Linked DNA regions of Elephas maximus indicus. The main gene of each other region encodes a partner of the protein of the gene in region 2 in a complex. Links are inferred from orthologs where the notes say so. Each region holds a gene or a part of one and is shown on either strand. Other genes may lie near its edges. The genes, in order: ARPC4, ACTR2, ARPC3 and ARPC2.

Evidence for each region.
Region 1: the proteins of ACTR2 (region 2) and ARPC4 are in contact, whole or in part, in a cryo-EM structure (PDB 6YW6), measured with the Homo sapiens proteins. The link is inferred for Elephas maximus indicus from reciprocal best matches to the Homo sapiens genes ACTR2 and ARPC4. Residues at the interface, in NP_005713.1 of Homo sapiens: Tyr222, Val223, Tyr225, Gln229, Glu230, Lys232, Leu233, Ala234, Leu235, Glu236, Thr237, Thr238, Val239, Lys253, Thr308, Met309, Tyr310, Pro311, Gly312, Pro314, Ser315, Asp346; in NP_005709.1 of Homo sapiens: Val29, Val30, Glu31, Arg32, His33, Lys35, Pro36, Glu39, Val40, Ala98, Glu99, Asn100, Phe102, Ile103, Leu104, Arg105, Arg106, Lys107, Leu117, Thr119.
Region 3: ACTR2 (region 2) and ARPC3 share a complex: the UniProt entries of both Homo sapiens proteins name them as parts of the arp2/3 complex. The link is inferred for Elephas maximus indicus from reciprocal best matches to the Homo sapiens genes ACTR2 and ARPC3.
Region 4: ACTR2 (region 2) and ARPC2 share a complex: the UniProt entries of both Homo sapiens proteins name them as parts of the arp2/3 complex. The link is inferred for Elephas maximus indicus from reciprocal best matches to the Homo sapiens genes ACTR2 and ARPC2.

Annotation. Positions count from the first base shown.
Region 1 is NC_064838.1:34,765,302-34,773,031, reverse strand, and holds the start of ARPC4 (actin-related protein 2/3 complex subunit 4), read right to left. Parts: upstream 3,001-7,730; 5' UTR 2,897-3,000; coding exon 2,894-2,896; intron 1-2,893. Other genes in the region: TADA3 (transcriptional adapter 3), read left to right, coding at 4,483-4,689, 6,572-6,822, 6,934-7,039. UniProt on the Homo sapiens protein: Actin-binding component of the Arp2/3 complex, a multiprotein complex that mediates actin polymerization upon stimulation by nucleation-promoting factor (NPF).
Region 2 is NC_064835.1:71,461,555-71,468,570, forward strand, and holds the start of ACTR2 (actin-related protein 2), read right to left. Parts: upstream 3,004-7,016; 5' UTR 2,908-3,003; coding exon 2,860-2,907; intron 1-2,859. UniProt on the Homo sapiens protein: ATP-binding component of the Arp2/3 complex, a multiprotein complex that mediates actin polymerization upon stimulation by nucleation-promoting factor (NPF).
Region 3 is NC_064840.1:9,035,973-9,043,444, forward strand, and holds the start of ARPC3 (actin-related protein 2/3 complex subunit 3), read right to left. Parts: upstream 3,012-7,472; 5' UTR 2,869-3,011; coding exon 2,863-2,868; intron 294-2,862; coding exon 194-293; intron 1-193. Other genes in the region: GPN3 (GPN-loop GTPase 3), read right to left, coding at 6,362-6,424, 7,012-7,140. UniProt on the Homo sapiens protein: Component of the Arp2/3 complex, a multiprotein complex that mediates actin polymerization upon stimulation by nucleation-promoting factor (NPF).
Region 4 is NC_064824.1:116,784,063-116,791,222, reverse strand, and holds the start of ARPC2 (actin-related protein 2/3 complex subunit 2), read right to left. Parts: upstream 3,021-7,160; 5' UTR 2,919-3,020; intron 2,700-2,918; 5' UTR 2,692-2,699; coding exon 2,618-2,691; intron 1-2,617. UniProt on the Homo sapiens protein: Actin-binding component of the Arp2/3 complex, a multiprotein complex that mediates actin polymerization upon stimulation by nucleation-promoting factor (NPF).

The DNA.
Region 1 (7,730 bases), on a different chromosome or scaffold from region 2:
GCCACGTTTTTTCTCTCCCACAGAGCGGCTGGTGGGTTCAAACCGTTCAGTTAGCAGCTGAACTCTTAACCATCGCACTGCCAGGGCTCCTTACACACTGAAATAGGTGCTGGGGATTCAAGATGATCGAGACCAGCTCTACCTTCAAATTTCTCTCAACCTGGTCGGGGAGACACCGAAGTAAATGACTATGATACAAAGAAATGTGAAATAACTAGATTTATAAGTAATCCACCTGCAGAAGAAACTGAGTTTGATTTGAAGATAGAGATAGGATTAGCAGGATTTAAAAGCAAAAAATAGAACAAGAACGTTCCCAGTAGACCTTCCAGGTACATTGGCCTATCTTCAGTTCCTTACATTAACCAAGTTTTTCCTCACCCCAGGGCTTCCCACATGCCGATCCATCTATTGATAAGACATTTCTCTTCTCTTTGCCTAACTACCTTTCCACCTCCGCTTATTCAAGAAAGGCCTCTCCACTGTATTCAATCTCATGTCTCAGGTTTTCCTCCTTTATAGTATTTATTACAATTCATGATGGCACATTCTTCTTGTCTTTTGTAGTTTTTCCTTCACAAACTCTAAGCCTCATGAGGGAAGAGACCGTGTCTGGTTTATTCACAGCAATATATCCTGCATCTAGCTCACTACCTAACACAAAGAGCCTTACTCATTCTCTGTAGGGTGAATGAATGACAGCGATAACGTCAGCAGTATCTAACACAAAGAGCCTTACTCATTCTCTATAGAATGAATGAATGACAGAAATACCGTCAGCAAAGTTAGAATGACACAAAGGGGTATTAAGAGTTCCAGAAGTGGTAATGACTACAATGTTGCTGTATATGGGAATTTGATTCTGTAAAAGAGGTGGCAAGATCGTGGAGATTTTCAAATGCCAAGTTACTGAGTTCAGCTTTTTTGGGGCAGTAAGGACTGTTGGGGCTTTCTGAGGAGGAAGTTACATGACTGCAGCTGCATGGTGGCTCTGCAGAGAATGGATTAGAGGGGGAAGTGAGACATAACGCAGAAAGGGGTATTTAAGAAGTGCTGTTGAGAGCCTGGCCTGGGGCAGTGGAGAAAGAGGGTATCACAGAGATTAGACTAACAGATGTAGAGCATAAGAGGATCAAACAACTGCCCAAAACTGTGCTCCCATATGATGGAACACTATACATGAATGACTTCCAAATGTATTATGGGAAGTGAAAGAAGCCAGACTAAAAAGACTACAAAATAAAGAACTCCATTTATACGACATTCCGTAAGAAATAAACCTATACAAAAAAAAAAAAATCAGCAGTTGCCTAAGGTGGGGGGGAAGGAAAAGACATTATAAAGGGGCTTAAGGAAACTTTTTTGAATGACAGAAATGTTCTAAATGTTGACTGTGGTAGTGGTTACATGCCTGTGTTTGTCTAAATTCACACATGGTAAAAGCCACCACCTGTCAATTTGCTGTACTACTGCATCGGTATTTGAAATACCAGAAGGGGCACCCATGATAGACAGGTTTCAGTGGACTTCCAGACTAAAGAAGACCAGGAAGAAAGGCCTGGCGATTTACTTCCAAAAACTAGCCAATGAAAACCTTATGAATCACAAAAGAACACTGTCCAACATGTCATCAGGATGATCAACAGCTGAAAGAGAACATCACGTTTCGTGAAATAGAGGGCCAGCAAGACCCTCAGTGAGATGGACTGGCACAAGAACTGCAATGATGGACTTGAACATGCAGATGATTGTGAAGACGACGCAGGACCAGGCAACATTTCATTCTGTTCTGCATTAGGTTGCCTTGAGTTGGAGTCCATTCGACAGCAGCTACTTATCTATCTAAACCTAAAAACGGTGAATTTTAGGTGGCCCGCCCCTGCCCTTTCGTTAATAAAATAGGCATAGTTTTTTTCTAATACCTCGATAAACTTGCTTTAAAAGAGCCAATTACAAGAGTTAAAAAAACACACAAAACCTCGCAGGTTCTAGCTGAGGTCCGAGAGGACACAAAATTAGGAAAGAGAACACAGGTGAAGATCAAGCAAGTTTAGGAGGGTAGATGAGTTTTGATCTGGAGATCTGATTTCCAGGTATGTTCAAGATTTCCAAAAGAACCTTGATAGAGAGGCCAGAGCAAGGGAGGCAGATTCAAGACTCACCAAATACACAAGGTCACTGAAGCCATGAGACTACACAGGTGTCACCAGGAAGTGTAAAGAGAGGAAGGTAGTGAGCCAAAGTCACAACTCCCAGAAACGACCACGTTTATCAAACGGAAGATCTCCAAGGAGGGAGGGATCAGCAGTATCATATCCTAAAGTAAGGCTGACACTGTTCAGTTCTGACCAGGGCCGGGCCTGAGAGGAAGCAACACAAACGGATCCTTCAGTGGGGTAGCAGCAGCGCTGGGGTACCAAGAAGAGTGGATAAGGAAGTGTGAACGCCTCCTTTGGGAAATGGTGGGGTCAACTGGCTAGGAGACGAAAAGTTATGTGTACTTACTGCAGTTCTACTATGGGTGGGGAGCTGGCCCTTCTACATGCCTCAGCGGCCCTACTACGGGCTATGAGGCCTACTACGTGTCTGCCTTCCACAGGCCTAGGAGGTCCCACTTCCGGCTTCCTCCCTGCCTCGAGTATTCCCGACCTGCTCCGGGAGCCGGACCATGAAGCGACAGGCCTGCTTCCTACCAGGGCGTCCCCCTCAACCGCTCACCTCCTCCTCACAGCAGCCCCCGCCCCACCCTCTTTCTCCCAGCCCCATCGCGCCCCCACACTCCCCGGTATCCCTCGGCCCCGCGCCTCCTCTGCTGCAAAGCTGCGTCTCCCCTAGACCCAGAGCTCTGAAGCAGAACGGCGGGGGTCCCTGGCCCGGGTCCCGGCTCTCTCACCATCGCGGGCTCTGGCTGCGCCGGAAAGCGGAAGTGCGGAAGTGGCCGGCCCAGCGACGCCTGCCCTTTCTCGAGAAGCGCAGCCGCAGTCTCCGCCCGGACTTCCGGACGATACTATCTCCGCTCCAGAGCGGGGGGAGGAGGATCCTAGGAACACTTAGATCCTTGGCAAGTTTTCCCGCTAGAACTATCATGGTATTGGACTACGGAAGTTGCAAATCGAAACTCAAGCTTTTCCAGGTATCCATATAGTTCTCGCTTATGCCTTTGGCCTTCTTGTCGCCTTAGCCACAATCTCTTCCTATAGTTATGCAATGGTACATCCCAGTCTCAGGTTGGGCACCATATTAGGACAGGGTGAGGAGGTGAATCCTTTCGTTCCTTCCGGTTCTGCGCCCCTATCCTTTCTCCCGGCTCCTCCTACCTGCAGCCCCCGGGACTAACTGCCGCCTGGCGCCGAGATCCCGGCCGCTGAGCCCCGCCCCTAGCCCCAGGCTTTCTAGGGTACGCCCTAAGGGTACCATTCCACCCGCAGTGGCCTTGCTGGCGGTCTGCACCCCCTCTTGGAGCCACAGTGGGATTGCCCGAGCCGTCTCCCCGCCCCCGGGCGAACTGCAGGGGGCCCGCCCATCGCCAGTTCCGGGGCGGTTGCTCCCACCGACCGGAACTCCTCTCCCCCTCCCGCGGCCCCGGGCCGTAGGAGGCAGCAGTGAGGAGGTAGAGGGGGCGGGGGCCGCGTTAGAGGGTACCTAGAGGGCGGGCACGGGGCGACCCATGGGTGAAGCCAGTCATTATAACAGTCCCACTTTTTCTGTGCCAGGCACTGAGCTGAGCTCTTGACGGGCCTCATCTCTTAATCCTCAGAACATCCCAGGGAGGTATGTACTGTTGTTATCCCCATTTTACAGACTGGGAAACTGATTCAGAGAGACAAATAGACTTGTCTTCTTTTGTCCCCATTTTACGGATGGAAAAAGATTAAATAACATGTTCAGGGCCACAAGCAGAGAATGGTAAAAGCTGAGCTTGAACTCAGGGCTGCTTGGGTACCCAGCGCACATTCCTGACACTATCAGGGACATAGATAAAGAGAATTGGGTAAGGGGAGGTGGGCAACGGAGAGCATGGGAAGCACAGAAAACTTTGTAAAAATGAGATGCTTGGAAACCAGGAGAGATGAGACAAAAAGGAACAGTGTCAGGAAAACAGGGTACATTGTATTGTTGTGATTAGGGCCACAGACATGAGACTTCCTGGGTTCAAACTGCATTTCTGTAAGCTTAGGCCTGTGCCCACCCTTACAGAGTCTCAGTTTCCTTGTCTGTAGAACAGAGATGACAATGGTTGTTGCTCCTGGGGTTGGGTGATGAATTCCACAAGATAAGCCTATAAGTACTCTGCACCTAGTTTGGTACACAGTGGGTACTCTGTGAGTAGGAGCTGAGCCACCAGCATTGTCAGAAGGTACTGAAATCTGACTTCCTTGTTGAAGCTCTCTCTAGTGGAAGGAGCCCTTGGGCTTTTCTCGTGACAGTTTGTCCCTCGTCAATCTTTACTCTCCAGCTACACAGGGCTCCGTATCCTGGGCCATGAGTGAGCTGAAGGACTGCCCCTTGCAGTTCCATGACTTCAAGTCTGTGGACCACCTGAAGGTCTGTCCCCGCTACACGGCAGTGCTGGCCCGCTCCGAGGATGATGGCATTGGCATTGAGGAACTGGACACCCTGCAGCTGGAGCTTGAGACTCTGCTCTCCTCTGCGAGCCGGCGCCTACGGGTGCTGGAGGCAGAAACCCAGGTGATACCCCACCTGCTGGACCTTGTCATGGAGCGGGGGGATTGCCAGGGGTGGACTGTGACAAGATAGCAGGATGGGACATTGAGTTAGCTCCACCTGCTGGGGCTTGGGGTACAGGGCCTTATGGGGGTGTGTAGACTAATACAGGACCCAGCACGTTGGGGGTTGGGAGGTAGAAGGATGGGACGTGGGGGTAAGGTAAAAGCTTAGTGAATTACAGGTTTTGCAGTTTATGAAGATCATGCACATTCATGCGTATTGTATCTGCAAGATTGTGCGTGATCCTCATAACTTGCAAGATTTATAATTCACTAAGCATTTATTGGAAACTCTGGTGGCATAGTGGTTAAGTGCTACGGCTGCTAACCAAGGAGTTGGCAGTTCGAATCTACCAGACACTTCTTGGAAAGTCTACGAGGCAGTTCTACTCTGTCCTATAGGGTTGCTATGAGTCAAAATCGACTCGGTGGTAATGGGTTTGGTTTTTTGTTTAAGCATTTATTTACCCCCCATTATGAGCTGAAGGAGCCCTTGTAGTGCTGTGGTTAAAGCACTCGGTTGCTAACTGAAAGATCAGCAGGTCGAGCCCACCAGCCACTCCTAGGGAGAAAGATGTGGCAATCTGCTTCCCTAAAGATTTACAGCCTTGGCAACCCTAAGGGACAGTTTTACTTGGTCCTGTAGGGTCCCTGTGAGAGGGAATCCACTCCAGGGCAATGAGTTTTTTTCTCGTTTTGAGTCATGTGCTAATAATTAAAGGAGTAATTAAGACAATTCTGGTCCTCAGGCAACTCGCCAGTTAAAGGGTGGGGGAGGTCAGACACGTACCAGATAACGTGTTGTAGTTAGGGATACTAGGAGAACCGGAGCAGGGAGATCTGGATTTGAATCCTGGACTGAGCTCTTGCTACTGTTGTTGCTTCCTAGTTATGTGACCTTCAAAAAGTTACCTCACGTTTCTGCTGAGCATCCATTTCCCCGTCTGCAAAATGGGCTCAGTAACAGGACCTACCTAAGAGCATTAAAAAAAAAAAAAAAAATTTTTTTTTTTTTAGTGAGGATAAAAAGAATTCTTGCAAGGACTCAGCTCTATGTCTAACACTTAGGAAGCATTTCAAGTGTTATTTATTGACTCTACTTTGATTATTTTTATTCACTATATAAATGTCTCTCAAGTCCTATGTCCCAGGCACCATGCCAGATCCTGGGCAATGGAGATAGTGAAGATGAGCTTCCAGTCTCTAGTAGTTTATAATCTAGCTGAAGTGAGAGGGTGTGCCATATTCCAGTATGACCAAGCAACATGTTTGGGTCTGCAGTGGAGGTCTGAAGCACCAGTCTCACAAAGGAGGGGGATGCCATTTCCACTGGGCCTCACAGGATATATAGATGTAACTTGTGGCCCTTGGGAATCCATGATAGATTTTGAGCAGGGCTGTGGCACAGAGTTATATTTGATCATCTAAGAAGTTGAGTGACTGGTATGATGAACACTTCCCAGCTGTGGTGACGTTTGAAATAAAAGGTTGCTGGGAGACTTGCTTGCCTTCGCCAAAAAGTTACCACCAGAATACTTCCCCAGGGTTAACATGTCCTGGGACGTGAACATTTATTTGACTCCTTTACTAAACATGATGTGCCTTGCTTGGGTGAGGCAGAGAGGAGTCAGAATAGAGCTAAACAAGTGAATGGAACAATAAGTATGTGAATAAAGTCCTGTGAGACAAGGGCAGAGAAATGAAATTGGATCGTGAAGGATGAGTAGGAGGATGGTGGAAAGACTTGGAAGCCTTATTGGTTTCTAGATCCTAGTTTATTTATTAGGGAAAATGTCCTTTGTCTTTCCATCTCCCCCTGAGTGATAAGTCTCTGTGAATTTCAGATCCTCACAGACTGGCAGGATAAGAAAGGTGATCGACGATTCCCGAAGCTAGGTCGAGACCATGAACTTGGCGCTCCTCCCAAACATGGAAAGCCCAAGAAGCAGAAACTGGAAGGGAAGGTGGGACATGGGCCAGGCCCTGGCCCTGGGCGGCCCAAATCAAAAAATCTTCAGCCCAAGATCCAGGAATATGAATTCACTGATGACCCCATCGACGTGCCACGGATCCCCAAGAATGACGCCCCGAACAGGTTCTGGACCGGAGGACATAGACGGGACCTCAGGATTCTGGGAGTGGAGGGGTCCAGGGCTGAGGCTGATAGGGCAGGAAGTGCCCATTCAGGATCTGCTTTTCTCCGCAGGTTCTGGGCTTCAGTGGAGCCCTACTGTGCAGATATCACCAGTGAGGAGGTGCGCACGCTAGAGGAGCTACTGAAACCCCCAGAAGATGAGGCTGAACATTACAAGGTAGCAGCCCTGGACCTCAGTAGACATGGTAGAGAGCAAGGGTGCGTGAGAGACGCGTCAGAGATCAGACATCAAAGACATGTATCACTTTCCTTGTCCAGCCCTGCCCAGCCTCTGTCCCTAAACCCATCCAGACTCCATGCTCGACCTTGACTTTTTCCTTGTGCACGCCTCCCCTCAGCCCCACCCAAGTGGTCTCCACCTCCTGCAGTGTCTACATCAGTGGAGTCCTCCTTTGTGCCCTCATCCTCTTCCCTTCTGTTTGGTTCAAGCCTTCATCAGCTTTTACCCATACAGCCTCCTAACACCATCCCTACTTTTAGGCTTCCAGGGGCTTTTTTTTTCTTTGTATAGGTATAAGGGTTTATTTTTTGTGATGAGAATAAGGCACGTTTCGCTAAATAAAACGTGGAAAATACAGAGAAGTTGCGGGGGGGCTCCTATAGGTCACCTGTCATGATGGGATGTGCTCATGACCCAGCCCTGCTGCCAGGCCTCCCCTGGCTCCCACTACCCACAGGGTGAAGTCCAAGTGTCTCATCCTTGGCAGCCCAGCCCCAGCCCCAATCTTTGTTCCTCAGCTACACCCTTCTCTGTGGCTGCGTTCACCACCTCCCCAAGCACCTTGCCCTGGCTCCAGGCTCACACGGGCCTTCAGGGCTCTGGGTCTCTACACGTGCTCTTCCCCACT
Region 2 (7,016 bases):
CTGTCCTACAGGGTCGCTATGAGTCGGAATCGACTCAACAGCATTGGGGGCTTTTTTTTTTATCAACCACAAATGTGTATTAAAAATGAAAATATAATTATTCTAGCATACACTACTTTGTATCACCAGATCTTATGCATTGTGCCATAACACACACAGTAGGCACCCAGGAAGTCTTCACTGTTGTTGGTGAACTCACTCACTACTGATGAAACCATCCAAGTTTGGTAACAGGATACACACAACTCTAGGGCCCAACTCTTCAAAGGCACCTAAACCTAGAGCCCCACAGGTCTCCAGAGTTTTGTCTGTCTGTCTGTTTTCAAGGGCTCTGTTCTAGCCGACAGGTTTGAACAGTTATAAGGCCAAAGCACATAAATTTTAAGTATTCCTCCTACAGCTCACCCTAATGAAACAGTGGTCTAGTTGGGGGCTGGTGAGGAAATGGAGCAGGACCAGTGTCTGGTACGTGATCATAAAAACCCATCCACTCCTAAGAGCATCCAATTTTGGGCCTGTGAGATGGGTTAAAAAAATCATCAACTTCTCAAATAGATTAGAATTTTAAAACCTCAAGTGTGTAAAGGGCAAATGACAATAATTCAGGGTAGTAGCTTTTTTTTAAAAATAATTTTTAGAAATTAAATCTGAATATCTTCTTTAATATGTAATTGTAAAGGAAACACTATGACTTCAGGCACATAAAATAAGATCAAGATGACTATTCAAGTCTAGAAGCATAAGCAGTAAGAAACAGAATACAGAATCTAAGTGGTCCTTAACCCTCCAAATTTTTAGAAATATCACAGCATTCCTGATTACATATTACCAGAGCTGTTTCTTCATTTTAAGCCAAGCGTTTATCTACAAAAAATCTGAATGAATTTCAAAAATAACCTTAACTCAACACCAAATACATACATTCTTATTTGAATTAACTACATTTTTCTCATTTATGTCATAACTGATCTTTTGTCTTAAAAAACTAGAATTTTAAATTATGGATACAAAACAAATCCATGACATATATGCAATCGGCTTTCTAATATCAGCAAAACTGACAAAATAGTAAGATAAAAACGAGCCACCTTACAGTTAACATTCATATTCTAATAGAGTATGAGAACACTAATACAGACTACAAATACAGGGTTCGTTGCCTAGAATCCCCCAAGGATGAGAAACTCCATTAAAATACAAGTTGCTCAGATTTCTAAAGAGAATATCAGACCTATTCACACAATAAAGTATTTCAGTTCAATTTAAAGTTTTAAATTTATTTAGAGGTCAGCTTGAGACTAGTGGAAATCAGACTACTTTTTTTAAAAAGCACCTTTAACTGAGTTAACTGTAAAAGTAATACATGCTTATAGTAAAAAAAAATTGTCCTCTTCCCCACTTCCCTTACTCTTATCCTGTCTCAGAGGCAACCACTATGGGCATTTCTTATGCATTCCTCCAAAAATTTTAAATATAGATACCAGTGTGTGGACGTATGAGTATCTTTAATAAAGAACGCACACATTACATGGAATCATTCTAAAGCTTTTTTTTAAAAAAACTTCAGGATACATCTCAGACATGTTTCCACAGCAGTGGGTCTGCCGTTTTTTTAAGTACTCCATTTTGCATTGATGTCCCGTTATATGGTAACTTTTTACTCTCGTCAATTTGTAACTTGGTTCAGATGAAACTAGTATAATTATTGCTTGTAAAAAAAAAAAAAAAAATCCGTAACAAATTCAATCAAGGGCAGTAGTATGGAAGTGAGTACCAGGTATTTTTCACCCTGAACAATCCAGTTTCCAAAGTGTTTATTTTAAAGTATAAGTAAAATCTATTTTAATTCATATGTCACAAAACGTTGCAACTACAAAACGGTTAGAAATCACTGTAACCTAGGGGAAAATGACCAGTATAGCACCCGTCCAAAGTAAGTAACCTTTCCATCTTCTAATTTGCTGATTGACTCCGCTGCCCAAAATACATTTTTTTTAATTATAGGAGGGCGTTTGAAAGAAATAACTTTCAAATAGTTTCTAAATCAGTGCTCTCGTCGGATTTTTACAATTGCTTGCATTTTAGGATCTTAAAGACTAAATCTGTATTCTGCACCTAAGGAAAAAAGGGGCAGAAGACCAAAACTGACTAACTCCCATCCCCCCAAGGACAGTGGAATGAACACTGCGGCCTTGTGGGGTCTTAGATGTCCCAGGATAATCCTATGGAGCACGTGGTCTCCGCCGGACTGCAAAGGGGCCAAATTACCAACATACAGAAAAAAGTAAAAAGACGAGCCTCCCCCTCCTCAAAAAAAAAAAAAAAACCTCACTGCGAAGGGGTGAGGCCCACTGCGCGCACGACAGACAGCACTTCCTTTTTTTTTTTCTTTAAACCCGTTTCCTGCCTCCCGTTCAGTATCTTCAACTATACAGGAAGAGGAAGGCCTCTTGGTCTTCCTCCTTTTTGCACACTGGCGACCCTGGGGATGAACCCATCTTGAATCCCACAAACCCTGCCTTTCACCCCTCCGGGCATCTTGGCCACATTGCCCCCGCGCGTGCACGTAGCCGGCCCCCGCCGGGCCAGCAGGTAGGGTTCCCGTCCGCCGCCGACCTCGCCCGCAGCCCTGACAGGGAGGGCTGCGGGGGTGGCCGGCTGCAGGGGTGGCGGGCTCCGGGGGCCGAGGGTTTGGCCCGCCTGCTCCCCGAGTCCGCGAAGGCGGGAAGCGTCGGGCCGCTCCCCCTTCGCCCCGGCGGGCCGGGCCCAGAGGCGAGCCCCGGGCACTAAGGGCCCCCGCGCCCCCCGCACATCCTCCGGGGCCTGTGCCCGCCACCGCCTCCCCCGCCGGCTGCTTACCCCAGTGCCGTTGTCGCACACCACCACCTTCCTGCCTTGGCTGTCCATCGTCCGCCCGGGGGAGAGCCGCCGTCGCCGCACAACCTACAGACACCGCCGCCCGGCCTTTCCTCTTCCTTCTCCTTCCTCTTCGCGGCCCCTCCCTCGGCCCAACTTTCTTCCCCAACCGGAAGTCGCCGCCCCGCCCCGCCTCGCCCCGCCCCGCCCGCCTTTTACCGGACGGCCGGCTCGGAGGAGGTGGGGCGGAGGCCGCGACTGGCAGGGACAAACTCCAATGAGAAACGGAGGAGCCGAAGGCCCCGCCCACCCCTCTGGGCTTCAGCGCCGCTGCCACGGGCACCGCCCACACAGGTTCTTCCTTTCTGCGCCCGGTTCCTGGTGTTTCTGGGGCGTTAATGGCGGCCGACCTGGTGGGTCTGTGGCCTTCTCCCGAAGGCGTCGCAGGAGCTGAGGGTGCTGCTGCACGATGCAGAAGGCGGAGGCAGGTGAAGGGCACCAGGTGTGCCGCGAGGTGGCGATGGAAGGTGGCAGAGAAGCCAGCTGGGAGGGCGGGGAGCAAACCCGAAGTCCTTGCAGACCCCGTCATTGAACGTGGCCTGGTGTGTCATTGCTTCCAGTCGAGGCCTTCTCAGTAGACAGAGCTGGGATAGATACACACACGTATTTATTCGAAATCATGGATTTATACTGATATCTCCATTTCCAGCCCAATCGTCCTTTGCCCAAGTTGCTCCACAGTAAAGAGAGCGAGAGCGAGTGCCTACGTTTCCAGCCTCCTCGCTCACCACTTCCGTCTCTCAGCAGCACCCGTGCTACTTCACACCTGCGCGGTACATGTACATGTTTGAACCAGAGCCTTGGCTTTGGAATCAGACAGCCCCAGTTTCAAATCAGCCCCTGCCAATGAAGACTTCTATGATTTGCGTGTACCCTTGTTTGTGCGTGGGGATGACATCTTCCACGGGTTGTTGTGAGGACAAAATTCTGTGCATGGACTAAGCATTCATTCAGTGGTAGCTGTTTATTAATTCCATACTTTTCAACAGTGCAGTTCTCTCTATCTGTAATGCCCCCACTTTTTTTCTCTTTTTAATCAGCTGAGAAACTTCTCGAGGAGCCCTGGTGGCACAGTGGTTAAAAGCGTTCGGCTGCTAACTGAAAGATCGGCGGTTCAAAACCCACGAGCCACTCCAGAGGAGAATGTGGCAGTCCATAAAGATTTACAGCCTCGGAAAAGCTATGGGGCAGTTCTACTCTGTCCTGCAGGGTGACTGTGAGAGAATCTTCTCCACAGCAGTGGGTTTGGCCCAACTTATCACATCAAGATATCCTCCACATGCTCTTTACTCCCTTTCTTTGCTATTACTTTAGCACGGATATATGAATAACCTCGTTGTAACCTTATTACACTGGACAAGTATTTATTGAATGAGTGACATTAACGTTTATCTAGGAAAATGACATTTTAGAGATGTGATAACTAGAATTGTACCTTCTACGTGGCTGCACAGCATGTACAACTAGAGTAGAACTTGGATCCTGAAGCCCCAGACAGTATTCTTTCTATAATACCAGTCTGCCTCCTGTTTTCACTTAGTTCTTTCATTTGTTGTTGTCGGGTGCTGTCCTAGCGACCCTATATGACAGAGTACAACAGCTCTATAGGGTTTCCTAGGCTTGAAGCCCTGGTGGTGTAGTGGTTAAGAGCTTGGCTGCTAACCAGAAAGGTTGGCAGTTCAAATGCACCAGCCTGTCCTTGGAAACACTATGGGGCATTTCTGCTCTTTCCTATGGGGTCACTATGAGTCAGAACCGAGTCAGCGTCACCTACGAACAACAACGGTCTTTACAGGAGCAGATTGCCAGGTCTTTCTCCTGCAGAGCCACTGGGTGGGTTCAAACTACCAACCTTTTGGTTAGCAGCCAAGCACATAACCATTGCACCAGCAGGGCTCCTTGTTCTTTTATTAGACCAATGATTTTCAAACTTTTAAAGGCATAGAATCCTTTATTCAAATTTATCTTATGGAACCCCAACATATCAAATAGGTAAAAAGCAAAGCTGCCATAGCTGCAGTTGGAAGATCGAGAAGTGGGAGAGGGTAGGAGGCCTCAGGGTAATATGCTCTCCCTTCACCTGCTTCAACAGCTGTTGAGGTACTTCAGCCTTCTGAACACCTTGAAAAATACTGCATTAGTTCATAAATTTCTCCAGTAGAGTCCATATCTTACTTTTATGGCCCCAGTGCCTAGCACAGTGCAGTTTTCCTGGAAGTACATTTAATTGGTCTTAGCAAATTGATCTCAAACGTTTCTGTGGTCTTTTACTTTTCCTTCTTATGGGATGAAATGGATTACTAATTTTTACTTCTTAAGAAATAACATTTATTACTTTCTTCTGATTTTAAAAACAAGTCATGCAGAATGTAGAAAATGTCAGCAAATACCTGTTGAGTACAGTATGGAAAATGCAGCAAAACCCCTTGATGATGTAGATCCAGATACAACACTATTGGTGACTGGCTCCTGCCCACCAGACAGGCACATCCTAGTCATTCCACTGACTTCTTACTAATGCGACCTCACATTTTAGGTTATTGAATTTTGGGGGCCTCATTGCCTTCTGTTTTCCTGCACAAAAACCTTGCTAGGTAGATATCCCCATTTTACAAATGGGGGAGTTGGGGCCTTTAAAAAAGTAAGGCTAGCAAGGTCTAACAATGTTCATTATTGCCTTTTAAGGTCTCACCAGAAGCATATTTAACGTCCACATTTCTAGTACATTCTGTTCATGATAGAAGCTTTCTCTGCAGTTTACACTTCTTTCTGAGCCCGCACCGGAGGTCTCTTGAAGGCACTCTGAACTTTGACTATCAGGCGTCTCAAAACTCTTCCAACCTCTACCCATCACCCAATTCCAATGCCACTCCTACTTTTTTTAGTATTTGTTACAGCAACATCCCCCTTTCTGGAACCAGAATCTGTATTAGTCTCCTAGGGCTGCTATAACAAATACCACAAATTAGGTGACTTTTAATAAGAGAAATTTACTGTTTCACAGTTCTGGATGCTAGAAGTCCAAATCAACATGTTGGTCAGGCCATGCTGTCTCCCAGGTCTTTTGGGGGAATATTCCTCCTTGTCTTTACTGACTTCTGGTAGCCCCAGATATCACTGACTTGCAGCTGCAGCATAACTCCAACTCTGCCTCTGTCATCACATAGCCATCTTTCCTCTGTCTGTCTCTGTCTCTCCTCCTCTTTTATAGGACCAAACTCAGATTGGATTAGGACCCACCCTACTTCAGTATGGTCTGATATTTAACTGATAATATTTCAAATACCCTATTTCCAAACAGGGTCACATTCACAGGTACCAGGGGTTAGGACTTCAACATAAATTATGGGAGGCATGATTCAATCCATAACAGAATGTTTTGGGCAGAATTTTAATTCCATCCAAAGATGTTCACTCATTTTACAACCTGATAGTATTACTGTAGCTATCTAATCTAGCTCTCTTATTCTGTACCTGAAAAACTCAGGAAGGGGCCATCTATGTGATTTATTTAATTGTTTGGTTTATAAGTCAGTAAACCAAAAGGCTTGTACTTATGACAGAAAAGTACTTCTTTATATTGTCAATTATCTAACTTCTTCCAAGCTATTTTTATTTATGTTGCGAAGATAAGTATTTATATTAACAAACAGTATTAAACCAAGTTAGTTGGAAGCAAGTTGTGTTCTAAAGAATTTAACCTTGCCCAAAGAGAGAGGTCTGGCCTTTGCCTTCTCTTCTGGGAGGTAATCTCTTAGCCCTAGGAATGTTGTGCCTCATAGGAGCATCTTTGTACACCTGGGGGCCTTGGACCAGCTAGATAGCATCAAAGTGATTTCCAGGGGTGCCTTTGGGTCACATAGTATTACCTCAACCTCCACCACCTCCTGAGGGACTGAAGACTGAGATCATTCATGTGGGCAGTCATTCATGTTTATATGATGGAGCTCAATTAAAAACTCTGGACACCAAGCCTCAGATGAGCTTCCCTGGTTAGCAGTACTCTGTGTGTATTGTCACAGATTTTTACCAGGAGGAGTGAATGCTGCCCACAACTCCATGGGGAGAGGACAACTGGAAACTCTGCGTTTGGAACCCGC
Region 3 (7,472 bases), on a different chromosome or scaffold from region 2:
TTTCCTGCTAGATGCAACACATTTAACAGTGATCATGAAAGGCCTAGAACACAGCATCGCCAAGGGATAGGAAGTATAGGAGCAACGTGAGACATAGGACTGAGACGAGAACTGCCTTGATCTGATAATGTCAGAGGGTTGCCAGGCATTCTACGCCCAAATCTGAAAGGGATGGAAAAGCATTTAGACTTACTCTCTCGAGGGGCTGGTCCTTTGAACTGACTTCTGATAGGTAGCAGCGCCATGTTTCCAATGAGTTTGGTGTCAGGGTCCATGAGAGAAGAGTGGTAGGCCTGTAATGGCAAGCCAGGTAAGAATATGGAAGCAGAAAGAGTGCAAATGTCATGAGACCAGACGAAAAAAAAAGGCGACCCCATCCAAGATTAACTAGGGGAGAAAAAGAAGGCAGCAGGGGTATGCTGGAGCTGGCTCTTACCAGCTCATGAGCCAATTTTGAGGAATACTGCAAGCTGGTTGTTAAACACAGCCATTATTAAAAATTAAATTATATAAACTTACAATTAAATAAATTGTATTTAAAACAAAGGTTTTTGTAGGTTTTTAAAAAAGCTCTAAACTGATCACTTCTTAATTATTACATTTTATTATTGCTGATGCCCTCAGTTACATCTTTTGTATCTTTGTGGTATAAATACTATATACTGGGGTGCAACTGTGCATCTTCTCCCAATTCCATGTTCAGTGACATCACACTGGTGGCTGGTAAGAGTATCTACACCACAGAAATTGGCAAACACTATATGAATTAGGGGTAGTCTCCCATCGCTGCTTGTTCAATATTTGCCAGGATCCAAGTACTAGCTTTTCAGCTCTGCCACTTCCAGGCTTTATGTCATTCACCAAGATGTCACATTTCTTCTCTTAGTCTGTTTCCCAATTTGTAAAACGAGAAGAGGTATACTACGTTCAGTGGGTAACCAAACCAAACCCAGTGCCGTTGAGTTGATTCTGACTCATAGTGACCCTATAGGACAGAGTAGAACTGCCCCATAGAGTTTCCAAGGAGCGCCTGGCAGATTCGAACTGCCAACCCTTTGGTTAGCAGCCGTAGCACTTAACCACTATGCCACCAGGGTTTCCCTTCAGTGGGTAGGGGTGAGTTAAAAGAAGAAAAAGAGAGCCACATTTTTGAGAGCAGTCAGCATGCTGATTCTTTGCTTTGCTTCTAACAAGTAAGACAACATGGGCCCCATTCATGCATTCCATGAACAATTACTAAGCACCTTCTATATGCAGGAAACCCTGGTGGTGTAGTAGTGTGGCGCTACGGCTGCTGACTGAATGGTCGGCAGTTTGAATCCACCAGGCGCTCCTTGGAAACTCTATGGGGGCAGTTCTACTCTGTCCCATTGGGTTGCTATGAGTTGGCATCGACTTGTCGGCAATGGGTTTAGTTTTTTTTGGTTCTACGTGCAAGGCACGGTGATAAAAAAAAAAAAAAAAAAAAACCAAACCCACTGCTGTTGAATCGATTCCGACTCACAGCAACCCTATAGTGATACAGTGGCATACAAAACCAGTCTGGTCCCCACCCTGAGAGAGCTTTCAGGCTAATGGAGAAAACAGACGTTAAATAAGTAATCACAGGCGACGCCCACGGTACTCTGGGAGCTAATAAAGGGGGGCACGCCCCGCACGCATCGGGGATCAATAAATGGTAGCCAGACGATTCCCGGAGTTCCAGCGTGGTGCAAACGGTTAACACACTCGCTGCTAACACAAGGGCTGGAGGTTGGAGTTCACGTAAAGGCCCCTAGGAAGAAAGGCCTGGTGAACTAGTCCTGAAAAGTCAGTCATTGAAAACGCTATGAAACACAGGTCTACTCTGACACACCTGGGGTCGCCATGAGTCAGAACAGAATCGACTGGTAACCGGTTTTTGTGAGTTTTCTAAACAGGATTCATAACATATATAGCTATAATTATGGCCTGCTCCTTCTCATAATACAGAGACTTTGTCTGCCCTCCCCTTCACCAGTTACCGTCTTGTTGCCTATTTCCTTCACAGCACTTGTCACTATCTAAAATGATCTCCTTTATCTGTTTACACGTTCACCGTCTCCTCAGTAGAATAGGAGTTTGTTGGACTTACTACTGTAAGAGCGCTCAGCATGCAGTAAGTACTCAATAATGTTTGCTGTATGAATAAACACGTTACTGAGCCTCTTCTTTCCTATCTGCAAAGTGACGATCATGACGGCGATAAATTTAACCCCGTAGCCTGGCTGTCAGAAATGAAGGACAACCAGACCTTCATCAATTTTTACTCCCATTTCGAAGCTCAGGAAAACGGAAGCATTTGTAAATCAGGCGCCGGCCTTGAGCGGGTTCTGGGGGGTGGACGCCACTGCCGAGGCGACAAGGGAGGAGTCCGGGAAGTGGGGTCTGAAAGATGACAGGCAGCGAGAGGGACCGCCCCCAGGCCGAGGAGGAAGTGGGCCTGACAAGGAAAAAGGAGAAGCCGGTCCCTGGACTTGAAAAAACGAAAAGTAAAAAGCCCAGCCCTTGGCTACGGCTCCAGCGAGCCTTTAGGGACTCTGCCGGGCTTGGGGGCAGAGCCGAAGGGGCGAGAAGGGGGTCAGGATTGGAGCGAAGGGGCGGGAAGTGCTGGGGCGGCCTCCCCGCACGCCCGGGACTCTGGCCCACTCCTCCTGGCTCCCGCATCCCACACCCCGGCCGCCCCGAAGCCGGCACCGAGGCCTCCACTCCTCGCCTCCGCTCTCCCCCAGGCCCCCGCTTCCTCTCCGCCCTCCTCGGCCCGCTCCTCTCTGCGCGCACAAGACCGCTCACCGCTCCCCCCAACCCCCGCCGTCTCCCCACACCCCTGGCCCGGCCCCTCACCGGCATCTTCGCGGCGCCCGAGTTTGGACCCAACTGTGCACTATCTGCTGGAGCGCCGCGCTTCCGGCCTGGCTGCCCGGGCGGGGTAGGCGGAAGTGAGCCGGAAGGGGAGGGCGAGGCGCTTCCGGCGTTCTGTCCCGCAGATGGCTGTTGCGGCTGCGGGGAGCCGAAGGGACGCCAGGGGGCGCCCGAGCACTAGACAGGGACTCCGTTGTGCGTGCATAAGGCGCGCACGAAAGGTAGTTGGGTCTTAAGGTTACAGGATCTCGGTGATCAATGACCTGCTGTTTTTGCTCAAATACCATCTTTTCAGTGAAACCTCCCCCGGCCGCCCTATTTTAAATTCAATCCCAGTCCAACCCCGCCTTACCTGTCCTTCTTTCCCACCTTTTCTCATAAAAAAAAATACTCCTCGTATATTCTATTATTTAGTTTACATTCGATGTTTGTGCCACCCCACCACGGAAGCGTCAGGAAGGAGGTTTGCCCCTTCGGTTCCCTGCTTATTCCCCAGGCCCATAATACTGATGGTATATAGTAAACATCTATAAATATGTGCTGAATGAATGAGCCGAACTCTTAAAAATGAGGAAACTGGAGAACAAGTGAAGGGAATCACGCATTTATTCTTTCAAGCTTGAGTGTGCACCGAGTCTGAATTCCAGCTCTAACATGTACTAGCTGCATAACTGTGGGCACGCTGCCTCTTTTTATGGAGCTCCGGTGGTGCACTGCTTAAGAGCTTGGCTCCTAACCAAAAGGTTGACAGTTCTAATCCACCAGCTGCTCCTTGGAAACCCTACACGGCACCTCAACTCTGTCCTATAGGAGTCACTGAGTCAGAATCAATGTGACCGCAACACCTTTGGTTTGGTTTAACCTCTTTGTGCCTCAATTTCCTCAACTGAAAATGGAAATAACAGTACCTACCGTGCTTTCTGACAATTAAATGAATTACATGCAAAATACTTTGAACTTGCATGGCTGGAACATATGAATAGTGCAGTAGTTTTTAGTCCTTTCCTAGAAAGGACCTCACGTAAGCCAAGTTCCTTCCTGCCTTGGAGCCTTTTCTTCTGGCAGCCTTTCAAACTGGAACACTCTACTTGCCACATGTTCCTACAGCTGACTTCTCATCTAGGTCTCTGGCCAAACTGCGCCTTATTAGACTTCTAGTGCTGCTGTAACAAAGTATCACAAAGTGAGTGGCTCAGAATCAACAATTTATTCCCTCACAGTTCTGGAGGTTATAAATTGGAATTCAGGGTGTCAGCAGCACCACACTCTGTTCGAAGGTTCCAGGGGAAGATCCTTTGTCTCTCCCAGTTTCTGGTAGCCCCTAGCATTCTGCTTACAACTGTAGCACAAGTCCGATTTCTGCATCCATGACCACATGGCATTCTGCCCTGTGTCTGTCTCTTCTCTTTTGTAAGGACATCACTCATATTGGATTAGGGCCCACCCTACTCCAGGATGCCCTCATATTAATTCATAACGTCTTCAAAGACCCTATTTCCAAGTGACAAAGGTACCAGGGCTTAGAACTTCAAGCTAGCTAGCTCTTTGGGGGACACAATTCAATCCCTAACAGCAGCTTTTCGAAGGGGTCTACATAATTCAGTGTAGCAAGAATTAAAAAGAAAAAAGTTACATCTTTCAAAATTTTAGTATTTGTTATTATTCAAGGCAAGTACAAAATTTTAAATGCTCAGGCTACAAACTTTGTTTAAAAAAAGAAAAATCACTGCCTGCATTTTGACAAAAGGGTGAAACCTACTCATTCAAAAATGTGCCCTGACTGCTCCAAATTCTGACTGGAAAACAAGAGTGTAATGAAGGGCTAGTGCTACCTTTTTGTTTCTTTTGTGTGTGTGGGTGCATACATTTTTAAATAGTTATTTAAATTTTTTAACTACAGGTAGTCCTTGACTCAAGGCGAGTCCATCGGAAGTCAATTCTGATGTAACTCCAATACCTCTTTTTTTTTTTTTTAAGTTTTCATTATTATTGTCTTTTATTGTCAGTATCTTTATAAATCTGACCTTTGAACATCTGCGAGTGAACTTCTGAGGATGAGAGCACCAGCCAATTATACACTGCAACAGTGTATGCAGTACATGGTACCAGTGATAAAAATGTGATAGGACACACAAAAAAACCAGACTGTCACAAGTATAGTTTGTCCTAACTCCAGCATGTTTTAAGAATCGGGGACTACCTATGTACAAATAAAACATTCTCAATGCAGAAAAACTGAAGATACAGAGAAGCAAAGCCTTATCTATATCCTTCTAGATTTCTTCATTTGGACATAGATTTCTTCATTTGGACATATATACATGTGTATATTTTGTTACAGTAATTCTCGCTGCCCCCAAAACCCTCAAAAATGAAACCAAACAGTAAAAATGTTAGTCTGGTCTTAAATGTAGTCCAGGTGCTAATTTATGTTATATACAAATCTATGTACACTCTTTTCAACTTTTAAAACCTAAACTGATGGAATTAAAACACCACCAAATGATTCCACTTTAAACAGCAGCAGAATAACTCAGAACATGATTCAGGCATCTGCGGACAAAGAGCCAATTACAGTCACGTGTTGCTTAACAACCATGATACATTCTGTGAAATAGGCTGTTATGCGACTTGGATGCTGTGTGAACACCGCATTACACACAGACAGGCCCTGGATTATGGGCCCCAGCCCGCCCACTGTTCCATCGCCTGAGCAGTAGCAGCCCAGGCCCAGCAGCCTCTGCCGCCACCTACCCACGAGACTTGCCTGAAAACTGTATTCACTGGATACAGGAGGCCGGCCCTGCCAGGTATGTGGCTGTGGGCTGGCCTGGGGCTGTACCAGCAGCCAGATTGGGACTTTGAGCACGTTCAGGTGCGGGGTGGGGACAGGGTGTGTAGATGCCACGGAGCATGACTGGTGGTGGCGGCTCTGGCTGCCACTGCTGTTTTGGTGAGGCCGCTTCCTGATCACGTGCAGCCACCTGGAGCCAGGAGCCTGCAAGCACTCCAGACCCCGCCAGCCACCCGCCAGCACCGCGGCAGGAGCTGTGGCAGGCACTGCCCTGTACCTGGAGTGAATGGACGCACAGCTGCTGGACGGGTAAACGAAGCCAGGAGGAGAGGAAGGAGAGGAGGAGACGGAAGACGAGGTGCTGCAGGGGTTGGGATGCGCCCTGGAACCCCACTGCTCATTCACTCTGGGGGTTTGGGGTCTTTAAAGCCATTACAACAAATAAAGTAACAAACAAAAGGAGAGCAGCTTCCCCTTTCAAAAAAAACCCCAACAACAATCTTACATGACCATGGACATATATGCAGTTGGATGTTGCCCGAATGGATGTTACGTGGTACATGACGGTAGTATTTTTTTCCATTAGAGTACGTAGCTTTCTACTACTGCATCCTCTAAAGAGAAGAATGTCTTGTGGGTTCAGCCAGAAGCTCTTCACGTGTACACAGTTAATTTTCAGTAAAATCTTCACTCATTCTGGCGTTCTCGAAAATATTCATCGAACATAGAAGATGACTCCTCTTCATGTTCCTGACCCAAGGGAAACAAAACAGAACACGCATTTCATTTCCTCTCAGGTAGACCTGGTATGTATCTACATATTTTCCCACTGATACTCTCTAATGAGCTAACACCCAACAGCAGCTCTGGGTGTTGCTTACAGGTAACGGCCAAGAGTAACAAAAGGCATGATTGGTAGGATTTTTCCAGGTATGTGGTAAATTAAAGCGCTTATCTGTCATTAGAAGCAGTTCTCCCTTGAGTTTACAGTCACTCACACTGATTCTCAGGTAACAGCCTGACTACCATCAGTCTTTCCACTGATGTATGAGAGGGCAGCCCAAGCTCAACAGCATAGCTTCTTGTCTTTGCAAAACCCCCCAAGCTCCGATTACAAGGAGACTTAGCTGAATCGTGTTGTCTCAACAAAAGGGGGAATAAAGCTGATCTGACTGCTGAGCACAGGTGTGAATTTCAGAGCTCACCTAGGAAAGCCCGGGGCACCGCCACCTCTCAGACAAAAATTAATCTGAGTTGCCTGAGTTTTGCAGGAGGCCAGTGAGTGTCAGGAACCATTGCCACCAAAAGCCATCCAACAGCCCAAGCTTGGAAATTACCTTTGGTTCTTTAAATTCCAAGTCTTCTCCATACTGAATGGCAAAATCAATATGCTGTAATACAACGTTCATGCTTTCTTCATCTGACTGGTCGTAAGGTAAGAACCGCACCATGCTGTAGTCATCGATCTGCAAGTTGGGGAGTTCAGAAAGATCCACTCTGAAGCTGTGCAAGATACATCATTTTCAACCTACATTTGAGCTCTATAACCTTTTGTATTTCCAATTACAAATGTGGGAGGGGGAGGGGAGAGGCAAAGGAGACAGCTGGAAAGGGAACATCAGCAAATCATTATTGATTTTTCTGACCTCTGACCTACTAGAACACTGTTAGCTTATTACTTAACTGGACACTTGCTGCTTCATGGGTATTTATCTGATTTCCCCAACTAAGGGAAATTTCAAAAGGGCATGAACAATTCTAAGATCCCCATATGGCCTGGAATACTAGACATATCAGT
Region 4 (7,160 bases), on a different chromosome or scaffold from region 2:
CTTGGCACCACCTTTCAAACTCTCAGCATTTTTCTTTAAGGTCTTTCTCTATCTTCCACCCCAGCACATCTCACCCCTTAGCTTCTCTGTAACTTTGCCAACATGCTCTCTCAGAAAGGCCGGCTTCTTTTTTTCTTTTTTGCTCCTGCCTGGTGTTGAGTGCTGGTAAAAACCAAAGCCAAACCCACTGCCCTTGAGTCATTTCTGAATCATAGCGACCCTATAGTACCGAGCAGAACTGCCCCACAGGGTTTCTAAGGCTGTGATCTTTACGGAAGCAGGCTACCACATCTTTCTCCCGCAGAACGACTGGTGTGTTCAAACCTCCAATCTTTCGGTCAGCAGCCAAGTGCTTAACCACTCACTGTGCCACCAAGGCTCCTTTGAGTACCGGCAGAATCCCATATATGTTTATGATTCTCATAGCAGTCATCCTTTGTGGAAGTTCTGGTGTAGACATGCACTGTGATAAATATTTAACTGCTTCATCGGTGCCTTACCTTACTGGTATGCCTGGAAAAGCACACTTGGCTTGAAATTAGGCTTCTGCTTAGAGTACATCTGCAATCCCAGAAAAGCCCTACCTAGTAGGTCTGAATATTACGGTCTCTTTTCAAAGATTTCCCAAGAGCTTTTCAGCAGAATATGTTTTAAGCCCACTTATTTAAACTACTTTAAATAAGTGGGCATACAATAAAAGCGAAAGCTCAACACCCTCCCTCATATCCAACATCAATACAACACAAATCTTTTAACGAATGTCTTGGAAGTTCTAACTTACCCCTTCCTGACTTGAGGGCCTGCTTTAACCCCTCTGAAATGGTTAGCTGCTCTTTCTAAGAGTAATTTTCTAAAAGAAAACCAGCTGGAAGTTCTGAACAATGGGCCACATTTGGGAATCACAAGTTATTAATACACAAATAGATGTGAAGGTACTCCTGCATACAAGGCAGGCCTCTACTTGAAAATCCACAGGCGGATCTGCTTACAGCCACTCAGGTCTCATTCTTTGCTAGTCTGGACTTGAGAATGCATTAAGATCAGTTGTGAAAATGCAGAAGTTAGCTCAACTTCCTCCTATGTGCTACACTGCTCAAAAAAAGTACACAGCAATCACCCAAAAAAGACCCTAGGCTGATTCACTTGAATTATTTAAAGTGCAAAGGAAATGGCATGATAGACTGAAAAGAAGAAGCAAGTTAGCCTAAAATATAAGCGACTATCATCCCTGGCAAGAAACAGTACTGCTCACTGCATGTCATTACTTCAAGGAATAGTCCGTGCTTTGTTTTACAGATAAAATCTGTGGGCTTAAAAAATAGATAAGACTCATAAGACTCACAATACATTCAATTTAAGCAGTGAGTTAGAAGAGCTTTTTTTTTTTTTTAATTGCCTCCAAGCCACAAGTCCATTACGATTACTCAGAATGTCCCCTCCAGCAAGCCTCTCCCATCTGTGGATCTCTAAGCATTTACTTTCCTATTATTACTTCCCAGTTCATCATAGACACTTTGCATCCAGTTCCTCAACTGAAACTAAGATGTGAAGCCCCATCCTCACAGATGGGGAAATGAAGCAAAAGGACTGGCCACAGGCCACTAAAAATTAGAAGATAAAGCCAATTCCTTGGCCTCATATTTTAAATACTATATTAGAAACCCAAAGCAGCTCTGGGGGAGGGGGCTGTTTGTCTTCTACTGATGCTTGTGTTCAACTGAGAAGACTGCCTTAGAAAAATGTTCTAAGCCCATCTTTAAAAAGGCCAACAATGAAGGTTATCTAAGAACTTTACAGACCTAGGCGGCTCAGAAGTGTGTCACTGGGCCAAGACTATCACAGAAGAAATCACGGGCCAGGGGTCCTGCACCAAGAATTTCAAGATAACCAAATAATGGCTAATGGGTGGGGAAAGTAGCATTAGAACCTCAGAAGACAGATAAGGAATGGATGGATGTGGATGGAGGGACTGTCAACTCTGAGAAATATGTAACAAAATGGCCAGTTTCTTCTTACAGTAGGGTCCGGGGAAAGGGAAATTATAGAAATCGCGTTTTTCCGGTTGTACGGCTGGGTCTGATTGGGGAGATGGAATCGATGGGAAGGAAGCCAGTGCTTCCAGTCTTCCCTCTAGCTCCTTTAGGGAGGAGGTGGGGTGGAGAGCAAGAATGCAGGTGCTAATCTAGGCCTGTATCTTCTTCCCTCCTCCATTCCTGGGAATCCCTGAAAACTTCCAACCCAATCCCAAATGGGCTCTCTTCGGGTTCAGAACAATGACGGGAACAACAGAGGGAAGGGGTCCCCTCCTCGCTCCAGAGGGCAAAGGCATCCTCCAGTGAGTTCAGGCCCAAGCTGCCCTCATGCCCTACAGGTCTCCCTTTGGCACGCGCACTACTGTCCACTCACTGCTTCCGCATCCCTCCTCTGAGCCTCGCCCCACGCATCTCTCTCTGCCCCTCACCCCGCCGCGCCCACGTCTCCACCGCCAGGGCGGCCCCCACACCCTGCCAGGCCCCCCATCTCCCTCCTCCAGGTGTGGGGACCCTGGATGATACTGGGGATTGGCGGGGGTGAGCTCTGCCTCCGCTGCCACCCCTGGCCCCGGGCGCGCGCTCACCCGGCGGCCGCGTTCTCGAACTTCAGCGCGAGCGTCTCCTCGATGATGCGGTTGTTCACCTCCAGCAGGATCATGGCGGCGGCTGCCCCGGGCAGGGGAAGGAGAAACGAGGCGGGTGAGGATGGGTAAAGGAGGGAAGGACAGAGGGAGCGGCCCTGCTGCCCCTGACAAGGGGGCCTGGGTGGAGTAGTAAGTGAAGGGAAAAGGGGAGAGGGGCCGGGATGGGGGGGAAGGGAAGGACACGCGCGCTAGCCCGCGCACGCACACACTGTGGAGACACCCACCCACCCACCCGACCGACCTGGCCCCGGAAGCCTCAACCCGCCTGCCGAGCCGCCGCCGCCGCCTCACCAACAAGCCCGGTCCCCGCCCAGCCCCCGGCTCTAGCCGGTCACTTCCGCTCTCACACCCACTTCCGCTCGCCGCCCTACGCGCGGCCCCGCGGCGCCAATTCCGCTCCGACCCCTCGTGCACGCGCACGCAGGCACGCCTGCGGACCGAGGCCGCGCTTGCGCACTCGTGATGCCGTCGTCCCGCCTCCACTTTCCCACAGACCCCCTTACATCCAGCCCCTTCAAATATGTGGTTTACCCAGCTGTCATTCTCTGAGGCCTTCTTCACTGTCCGTCGCCTCCCTCCCGCTTGTCCCAGAGGTCCAGCTCTACCTTTCCGGTCTAGTCATTTTAGAGATCCCCGCATGAAGCTTCCCATTGTCATCTCCCAGTTCATCTCCCCTTTGCTCTTGGTGCCTGTTCGTTCTCGGTATCCCTTCCTCATCCGCGCTAATGGCTGCCTAGCTGCACCATTACCTTTTCGTTTCTCAACAAATATTTAGTGGGCTTCCTCTCTGTGCAGAGGATACAGCGGTGAAAAAAATAGACGCGGCCCTGCTCTCATGAAGCCTATGGTCTGGTAAAGGAAACAGACAACAAACAAGTAAACGCTGAAGTATATAACTTCAAACTGTTAAAAGGACAATAAAAGAAAGAAATGGGAAGTCACTGAGGTGAATATGCAACTTAGATGGACCTCCCTGGGTTCCTGTCACGCCTCCATTTTTGTGCCTGGGGGAGCAGCTTCCGGGCGCGGCTCTGAACGTAATCTCTTCTGCCTTGGAAACCTTCACGTTCCAGTACCTCTGCAAGAGACATACCGTCCACCTCATCTTCAGGCAGAATCTGAACTCACCTTTGTGGTACATCTGCACCTTCCGCCTGTGTGTCTTGTTTTGTATCTGCCGCCCCTCCCCCTCCCCACCCCAGGGAGACTAAGAGACTTAGATGAGTCCCTTCTACATGCAATACTTAATTTTCTGTTAAGTGTTCTGAGGGGAGGAGGGATCCAAGAAAAGGAACACAAAACTAACCCCTATCAACAAGGCCTAGACAGCCCTTTAGAAAAGATTTCTTATGGGCCATGGATAAGCTTCAGGAAATTGCAGATCCTACCAAATTATATGCTAACGTGTTAAAAATATTTATTGTATTAAAGTAACGCATATACCAAAAAAAAAAAAACCCACTGCTATCGAGTCCGACTCATAGCGACCCTGTAGGGCAGAGTAGAACTGCCCCATAGAGTTTCCAAGGAGCTCCTGGCGAATTCAAACTGCTGACCTTTTAGAACCTAAAAGCAGCCGTAGCACTTAACCACTATGGCACCAGGGTTTCCAACGCATACACACTTTAAAAATAACTAACGCGTTGTTGTCTGGTATATTCTGACTCATAGCAACCCTACAGGACGGAGTAGAACTAACTGCCCCATAGAGTTTCCAGGGAACGGCTGGTGGATTGGAACTGCCGACCTTTTGTCTAGCAGCCCAACTCTTAACCAGTGCGCCCCTTGCGTCAGAATTGACTCCACGACAACTTTTTTTTTTTTTTTTTTTGGTTTCTGATATTAAAAGCCTTTGGAATCGACTCGACGGCACTGGGTTTAATATTAAAAGACTTGCAGTGAGAAAAGCAGTTCCCTGGCCCGCTCTTCAGAGGCAATATCCTCTTATTCATCCTGCTATTTATCACCACATTTCTAAATAAATGCTTATACCACTATTTCTTGATTTGTTAATTCTGAGCATTATCTGATTTCCTGCCAAGGTAGGTGAGAATTTGTCTCCATCACTTCTCCTCCTCCCTACCCCCACATCCACACATACTGAAGAAACAATTTTTGGTTAAGTCAATAATCAATGTTTGTTATGTATGCAAATATTGATCATTGAGGAGCCAAGAAATGCACTGTATGCATGCCTTCTAGCTTACACAGCCTTTCAGTTTTTCCTAGGTTAATTATTGCCTTTTTACCCTTACTTGTCTGATTTTCTATATATTTATAGTTGGCTGTTTCCTCCCAAGTGCTCTAAGATTCTGCGTAAAAAAAAAAAAAAAAAAACCTACCAATAATATTTTCTGTATATTCAAAAATATAAATTTCATTTTTCTCTGAAGTCTTTGTCCCAGAACATTCCTTCCTCTTATTTCAATCTAGATTAATTGCTCTGTAGACTTGCTGCACAGCCGCCATTCTGGGATATTCCTTCATCGTGGTCTGGGTTGGTTTGGCTGGTTGCTCAGCTGATATTTAGACTCTGTAGGTCATGCTCTTGACCACTATGCAATACTAGTATACAGAAATGAACTGGATAGTTCTGTATTTGAGTTTGGAGTTTGATAAAATCAAGGTGTGAGAAACTGGATCTGTCAATATCCGTTTACAAAATAATGACAACTTCTTGACTGGACTGTCACCCTTCCGAACCCTGATGGCTTAAATAGGGAAAGCGATTCTTCAAGGATAGCCAGAAATCTGATGCTTTCAGTCTTAAAGATAGAGGCTGGAGCTCATCTTGGAGGGCTGTCTGGCTATTCTCTGTTTCGTCCTCCAGATCCACTCTTCACCCTTTTCCATCCCCACATCAGCTGGGCCCCCTTGCCCTTTGGCTTTTGGTTGGCCAATAGGGAGCCCCAGCAGGAAAAGAAAGAGATACAGAGACTCCCTCAGGCTGGCTATGTCCCTCAACCAAATGTCACTGCTCTACCTCAGTCAGAACCACTCTCTTCTTCCTTTCAGGTCCTGATAACTGACCCCTCCCCTCATCCTTTTGGGCCTAGGGGCAGTATTAGTTTGGCTGCTACTAGTCCTGGGTTACTGCACTGTCTTGTGATTCTCTTATACCCACATATTTTTAAACCCGAAAATACCCAGTATTTTTTAAATAGTCCTTTGTAAATACACCCTCCTTGAATTATCCTATCTTGAGTGTGCTCTGTGTTTCCTGTGGGGTCAAGACAAAATAAGGAGCAGATGGTTATTCTGGGAGGAATTGCTTTACAGAACCCTTACAGTCTTGCAGTTGTAAGTCAAGCCCTATCCTTAGGGTAGCTGAGCATAGATGGAATGATCCAAATGCTAACGTCTCAGACTCAAATGTTAAATATTCTCCTTAATAGTCTTAAAGACATTCCAACTCTCTTAAAAATGGCTTTTAGTGTGAGTTGTTTGGCAGTGTTCTCTAGAGTGCTGGGAGAGAGTGTTGTTGGGTGTAGTCCTGAGATTAGGGGAGAGGGGAAATGAGACAAAGGCCTTGGAGCCAAAGGAGATGCCATCGGAGACCTGGCCATCAGTCTTGGTCACTCTTTGGGCCTTTTTCTCTGTACCACTGGACTAATCTGCTGTTTGGCCACTAGACCAGGGATATCACCATCTGGTTCTTCTGTTGAAACTACTTGGTAACATGGGTAGAAGCTGGGCAATGGGAAACCATGGAAGGGTTTTGATCAGGGGAGTGGCATGATCAGCCCATTCTGGCCATCCTGTGAAAGATGTTTTGGAGACCAGGCAGGAATAACACGCAGCCTAGCCCCGTGACACCAGGGTATCAATCTATGAGGGACGTTAAAACATCAGTAAGTCAAACTGAATTCCTGTTAACTCAGGCTCCCACAAGAGACTGCTTATATACATAACGGATGAAAAATGTTACATTCTATTAGTTATCCATTGCTGCATCACAATTTACCCCCAGTTATGCTGCTGAAAACAACAAACATTCATTATCTCACAGTTTCTGTGGGTCAGGTATTTGGGAGTGGCTTAGCTGGATTTTTCTGGCTCGGGATCTCTCATGAAATTGCAGTCAAGATGTCAGTAGGGGCTGCGGTAATCCAAAGGCTTGACTGGGGCTAGAAGATCTGCTTCCAAGCTCACTCCTTGGCTGATGTCACTAAGTCTCAGTTCCTCTTCTTAGGTCATGGCAGCTGGCTTCCCTTGAGTGAATGATCCAGGAGTGAACAAGGCAGAAGCCACAGTGTTTTTATAAAATAGCCTGCCATCACTTCTGTTGTATTATCTTGGTCACACAGACCAGCCCTAATACAGTGTGGGAAAAGACTACACACAGGCATGAATACCAGGAGGAAGGGATCATTAGGGGTCATGTTGGAGGCTGGCTAAACTAGAACTCCTCAGGATTCTATCTTTGGATTGTTTCAGTTATCTCTTGCTGGGTAACAAGCTACCACCAAAAAATAATGGTTTT